Drosophila melanogaster: one gene and its partner. The protein of the gene in region 2 interacts with the protein of the main gene of each other region in a pairwise test. Each region holds a gene or a part of one and is shown on either strand. Other genes may lie near its edges. The genes, in order: Ser8 and mRpS26.

What was found.
Region 1: the proteins of mRpS26 (region 2) and Ser8 interact in a two-hybrid assay, tested with the Drosophila melanogaster proteins (one large-scale study listed by BioGRID).

What each region holds. Positions count from the first base shown.
Region 1 is NT_033778.4:13,432,247-13,435,797, reverse strand, and holds Ser8 (Ser8), read right to left. Parts: upstream 1,592-3,551; 5' UTR 1,587-1,591; coding exon 804-1,586; 3' UTR 753-803; downstream 1-752. Other genes in the region: CG30065 (uncharacterized protein), read right to left, coding at 2,350-2,397, 2,458-2,661.
Region 2 is NT_037436.4:18,104,506-18,108,030, forward strand, and holds mRpS26 (mitochondrial ribosomal protein S26), read left to right. Parts: upstream 1-2,073; 5' UTR 2,074-2,156; coding exon 2,157-2,365; intron 2,366-2,461; coding exon 2,462-2,930; 3' UTR 2,931-2,994; downstream 2,995-3,525. Other genes in the region: Polr3D (RNA polymerase III subunit D), read right to left, coding at 3,457-3,525.

The DNA of each region.
Region 1 (3,551 bases), on a different chromosome or scaffold from region 2:
GAAAAATTATAGCCTGTTTTTAGTATAATTAATAATTTACAACAGTTTTTTTTTTTTTGTACATTGTGCACCAACTTTTCCGCTGATATACAATTAAAAAAGCTTTAAAAGAGCAATTACAAAAAGTAAACAGAATGTTTGCACGTCATTGACAGGCACTTTTGCATTCAAAATTTATTGTTAGCCATAAATTGGTTATTTAAATGACGACAATCAAAAGTTGTAAAACGCTTAAACCGATTAGAAACAATAGAGATAGCAAATTTTAAGTGCACATGCAGTGCATAAACGGGAACTCAAAGGAATTTCAAACTAAACTATCAGTGAGGAAGTTAAACCATTAGCAAAAAAAAAATGTTCCAGCAAATGAACTAAAAAAATTTGAATATTTAAATAAATGGCATACATAACTTTAATTTTTAGTAATACAAAAGCGTGTAAATGGAATAGACAGAGATTTTACATGTCATTCGCAGCCATGTCACAGATATGTCACCCGACTTTAGTATGCAAACGCTGTAACTGGCTTACCATGGGCTTGCCGCCCCTGTGCCCCGCCAGAATTGAAGGCCCCACCCGGCAGCCAACCCCTGTGGACTGACCCAGATTGCATGAGCCAAACGAGCGGCGTGGCCCACAGGAAGGGCACGTCCTGCTGCCGCATGTATGGCTCTGGGGACTGGATTCAGAAGTCACTGCTGTTGAGCAGTAAATGAGCGGAAGCAGCAGTTGAAATAAAAGCCCTGCCAGCTGCAGTTTAACTATACGTACTATGAGTGCGATTTTATTGTGCTTAACTAAAGCTAGACAGTCTTCTGGGCCTGAAGGACCCAATCTCTCAGTTCGGCAATGTTGGCATACACGCCGGGATAATTGGCGACGGCGCAATCTCGTCCCCAGGAGACGACGCCCACCAGTTGGCCTCCGGATACCAGAGGTCCACCAGAATCACCCTGGCATGCATCCTTGTTCGTCGCCGCTGCACAGATCATGGTTGCTTTGATGAAGGAACCATATCCGTAAGTGGAACTGCCACACTGCGAACGGCCCACAATTCTCGTGTCCACAAAGAGCAGCGTCGCTGACGAGGGGCCATCGGTGGAGGTCTTGCCCCAGCCTGAGATGCTAGCTGCTGATCCGTGAGCCGGCGTCGCACTGGCCATCGTAATGGCCTTGATGGTCGAGCCAAAGGTCAGCTTAGTCTTCAGACGCACCACTCCAATGTCGTTAATCTTGCTGTTGGAGTTGTATGCCTCATGTGCCTTGATGGCAGCCACCTCGACGAGAACGCCACCATAGGTTCGCTTATTGGAGCCAGCCCTTATCCGGAGATTGGAGACCGTGGTCGGAGTGTCCAGGCAATGGGCGGCGGTCACGATGATGTTGTTGCTGATGATGGATCCACCGCAGAAATGACTTCCGGAACGCTGCAGAGAAACCTGCCAGGGACGATCCTCAATGGAAGAGGCTGTGCCTCCAACAATCCGGCCACCTAGCGATGATGTTTGTGGTTCCAGGCCAATGGGAATGACTGCGCCATTCGTGAGGGCCAGCAGGGCTAAGAAAGTTGCTATTAGTAGGGACATGTTTGCGGTTCAACCTTGGATGGCTAACTAACTGCGATGGGTGGCCTTTTATAGCCACAGATTGGGCATTGCCCGCGTGCGGATAAGGTTGTCAAATGACACGGCCATATTTCATTCGTATCAATCGCTGATTACCCAAAAGGCCCATCATCCGGCAATTGTCTCCAGGTGCTGGCAGGAGAATATGGGTGCTTTTAATTACCGACTGGTTATTGATTAGTTAGCCGTGAGATAGGTGGGATAGGTCAGTTGCTGGGCTTAGACTTATCGTAGGAATGCTTGTTTTGACGTCTTAATCTGGCTATAATCCATTCTCTGTTCTCTCCAGCTATTGACTGGGCCTTACCAATTGTAAATATTTCAAATACAGATTACTTCTTCCGTTCGGTGCGCAAAAAGCGTTGTAAATTGCATGACCACTTACGTGCTTTGAATGAGCATGAAGGCCAAAATAGACGTAACCACTCTGCACTAGCTTATGCTTTTAATATACGAACAAAAAATATAGAAATGTAGGTACAAATCATGAATAACTCATTGGTCATTTGCTCGACTTCGTTCCCCATCGCAGGACACGGAAAATGCATTAAAAACAACGGACAAGTCCACATCCGCTTCGCTGGCAGGACTCGGGCTCTCGTTTATTTGCCAATTAGGTTAAAAGTGTCACGTTCAGTTTAACAACTTCCGCCAGCGTTTCGTTCCTGTTCAGTATTGGTTCTTCAATATGGGCAATGTGGGTGGGCCGGAGTCATAAATTGGCCTAGTGCTTTGTAAAGCAAGTTTTCGACTCGGTCGGCATGCTCTGGCGCTGAAAAGCCCACAGACCGTATCAATGGGGAATTCATGTCTGTGGTGTTTCAGTACCTACCAAGTCGTTGTCGGACATAAGGCGCCTCTTCCAGCTGGTCAAAGTTTCCGAGTAGGTATAATACTCCACCATCCGGTTGAAGGTTACATGCTTCTTTGTCTTCGAGGACTCCTTACCGATGCCATCACCTGCTCCGTCCAATTCGATATCCTTCATGATTAGAATGGGCTTGAGCAACGAGCTCGATGGCTGCTCTTCCGACATGGCTTATATTGATATAAAAATATACAACTTTTTTAACCTGACTGAAATCTGGATTCAGGGATTGATAAGAACTAAATTTGACACTATATGTTTCAATGCTACTACGATAGTTTTCGTTTTTCGTTTTTCGTTTTCCTGCTAAAAATATGTCACGAATTTATATATTAATTTAATACAATGGCAAATGTATTTGTTACCATTTTATTTATTGGTCACGTATTTATATAGGTGAACCCAAAAGAGAGATCTTTCAAAAGTATACGCAAATATATATTTGATTATTTATTAATTTTGCATTGTTTGTCAAATCATTGCTAATTTCTGTGGGCTTAAAAAAATATTTGTCAGAAGTGGGATTCGAACCCACGCCCTCAAAGAGGACCAGAACGCTCATTCACAAACACTTTCGTTCAGAAAGTAAGATTTTCAATCTTGAGTCTGGCGCCTTAGACCGCTCGGCCATCCTGACACTTGATTCCGCAAACGCCCAAAATCTAGTGTCATAAAAGTATATACAAAATGGGGCGTTGAACCAATAAATTAGGATGTTCTCTGTTTGCCATTATATTGTCTAAAAGCATTTTCAACTCGTTGCGAAGATAAGATCGTTCAATAAACCGTTTAGCTTGATTGCCAAAGCAAATTAAGATACCTCACACGCGGAGAAGTTGGTCGGCTAAAGGGACGGGAAATTCAATCATCCTTGATGGTAAATTGAATTGACATTTCACTCAGCCGCCTTGCGAGAAATAGACCACGTTAGATCATCCTTGTCGGCTTTATGTGACATCATCGCAGGATACTCACTGTCCTAGCATGCACGGCATGAGATAACATTAGCAGCCGTCCATAATTGGGCTTCGCTTATCTAGGTTTGTACAAAAAGCTTG
Region 2 (3,525 bases):
TGGGGGGAACTCTTATCAGAATTTGCGAATGTTCTCCAAGCGCGGAAAAAGTTTGCATATTTAAGTTGAAGTCAGCGCCCATTCCCCAGATTTCCCCCTTTTAGCCAACACCTGCTGAGCTGCCGTGACTGAAAGTCATTTAAACTGTTTTACTTGCTGATGTTGTTGCTGCTGCTGGCATAATTATTTTCCTACACATTTTTGTGTTTAGATTTTCAAAGACCTCAGGTTGGAGATGGGCAAATAAATTAGCAAGCAGATTTTGCACTTGCTCAGGCGTTCAAGGCAAGACTTTTGACTTCTGCGTCGCGTGGTGCAGTGCCCCGAAGTTGCAACTCTTTTTCGGAATTTTTAATGAGCGTTGTTGATAAGCCAAACGAGGTTATGTTGGTGGGAAAATAAGTTGTGTAGCGGGAATTTACTGGCTTAAATAAGTTAAGCTCACAATTTGATAGGTAATTTCAAACTATCACAGAAGCTAACCTAAATAGTTGGGAATATTAAGTATTTATATTGAAATAAAGGGAATTAGATTAGTACATTGTCGTTATCATCCAACAACTTTGCATTCTTTCTGTATTAATCTTGTTTAAATCACGTTTTTAGATATAAAATCTTATCTTAAATGCTGGAGAATGTGAAAGTAAACAGATTGAAAAAGTTGCATAAGATAAACATTCCAACGATTAGAGAGCAGTAAACTTTTAATCGTACAGTTAAGGTACACTAATTAAATTATAAGAAAAGAAGATGTGGCATTTTAAGGCACTAAGTTTTAAAAAGGAAAGTCTACATTACCCATTTTAGTTATTTAATTAAAAGAGAACAATAGAACCCCTGTTTCGTGCAGTTCAAGCAATTGAACAAATTCGATATGCAAAATTGATCGCCTTATAAGAATTTCCAGCTACGAAGCGATCCAATTCGATTCGATTCGATTCTGTGCGTGGTAAGCGGTTGGGATACATGAGACACACATATGAGACAATATTTACAGTCCAACCAGTGCGAATTGCCATTCCAATCAGAGGTAAACAAAAATCAAAAGCCAATGTGAAAAAAAATGCCAACAAACCTGTACGAGTTGTTCGCTGCCGCTGCGCTGCTGAAGCTCTGCTCCCGCCGACGTCTGCGTCGAGAACTTCGGCTTTAAAGCTCTCAGATGGAGTTTTTGTTGTTGTTCTTGCTGCTGCTGCCTTTTTGCATGTGCAAATCGAAAGAGAGCGAGAGAGAGAGGGAGCTATGGAGCTGTGGAGCCCACCAATACTCGGGCTTTTTGGACAGGTAAGCGAAACACGTCGCAAAGAGCAGATGAATAAGAAGAAGACGCAGTAATGAATGATCGTCGCTTTAACTTTTCGCTTGCATCGGTATGCGTGTGTGCATTTCTGGGAGTTAACTTTTAACACTTTTAGCCTTGGCAAGAGATATATACAATATGCACTTTCCACACTGCTTCTAACTGACTTAGCTTTTCAATAACGCACACTATTTTTTTAAACACGAACACACACACACTTTCAAGGCGCGCCGGCTGCGCAAGCCACTTTTGTTTTAAGTTAGCCCACGTACAAGAGGCGAAACAGCGAAGTTCCGTAGCTCGGATTTTAATGCGGCCAGCGCGGCGATATATCGTCGACTGAGTGAGCAGTTACTTTTCGTACCTTCCCGTCAAGTTCACCTGGCCAAAAGCTTTTAAGCCCGAGCTGAGCGCAGCGCAATTGTGAGAAACGCACTAGTGCGTTGGAAGTTTGGCTATTTTCACAACAGATCTGTCTGGACTTCAAAGCTTGTATCTTTGGACAAATAAAAAACATTCATAACCTGCGCAATTTAATTGCAAAAACTTGTTAGCAACGCAAAATTAAGCTGTACCTAAAAATATATCTATGTAGCTGAGTATATAATTATATTTTAATATGAATATGTACGACAATAAATTTAGTAAGTTGACAACCAAATTACTATTGCCTTTCTATCTGAATTTGATTTGTTAAGATTGATTTATTCCTTGATTCTTCGATTTTCCATATTGGTCATCACTGACGGAACCAGCAATCGAACTGCGCGGAACCAGTTCACCGACAACAGAGTTGCACAACAGTTCAGCAGCGGCAAAGTAAAAATTACATTTTGTTAATTAAACTGCTTTTATAATGCTGCGAGCGGGATGCCAGCTGCTGACGCAGTCCACCCTGCCCACCGGGAAGACGGTCGGAAATAGTTTCGCCCTCGAGTTCGTCCGCTGGCGCAGGAAACCGCGATGGCTGCCGGTGGCCAAGAGCAAGATGTTCCGCGTGCCTGAACGCAAGAAGCAGTCGGAGGAGGAGCGCACGGAGCTCATGAGGCTACACAACCAGTACAAGTGCGTGCACCAGCGCCAGATTCTGTCTCTGGTCAAAGATAATTTGTAATCGGTTTCAAAAGACGTTATACAAAACAATCTACGCCTTGATTTCAGAACGCAGCTTCGCTCAGTGCGTCAGTTTCTAAGGGAGGAAGTCGTCCGCCACGAGGAAACATCCACAGCAGATCACATCGTGCTCACTCCCGAGCAGGAGGAGGCCGAGTTCCAGAAATGCCTGGATGCCAATGCTGCCTGGAACGCTGCCATAGCCAAGGAGCGTGATCAGCGATTGGCCAAGAAGCGTGAGGAAAAGGTGGCCTATATTCAGGAGCGATTGGAGGCACAACAGCTGCGCGAGGAGGAGCGCAAGGAGCAGGCCAACCAGCGGGTGCTGCTCGAGATTGAGCGTTCCAAGAACTATATCACTAGGGAAAACTTGGATGCAGCCATTGAGACAGCGTTGGCCAATCCCGTGGACCACAATTTCGCCATCGATATGGCCGGTAATCTTTACCACGGACGAAGCACCTCTCAGCTCCCGGACGCCACTCCCGAACCCAACCAGCAAGTTTTGAGTAATTAATTAATGCAGTGTCTTAGTTTGTTGTTACATTAAAATGCTTTTTATAGGTTTCTAACCAAAGTTGAAAGTCCGTGTTTTTTTTTATTTTTCTGCACAATAAACAACACACTTAAGTATATTTGATTTGCGCAAAAGAATAGGAATTGGATAACCTAGCTATTGTAAAGCGATTTGCTAGAACTAGAATACTTTTCAAATTTTAAGACCGTATTTGAAATTATAATAATCACTTAATTTGAACATATAATATATCAACAATCCATTAACCTAAAAATTAATCTTGGGTCATTGCATTAAGTATTGATGGCTTAATTTACGTTACATATCCCCAAGTTCCAAGCCCATCTTTCTTGGAGTCTCTTTTATGTTCCATATTCGAGTACAATTGTTAATAACCTTTTGAAAAGCATTTGTATTATAAAAATTTCTATATTTAACTTTTATATACGGCATTTAGAATAGGAATAACTTAAGCTTAGGCGCAGCCTATTTACTATATTACATATCTACCATGGGGAAGTGGGTGCTACGTGCCCGGTACTGGATTCGTTCGCTTGGATGCCGCATCCTGCTGCTGGAAAAGGTGCACCCAATC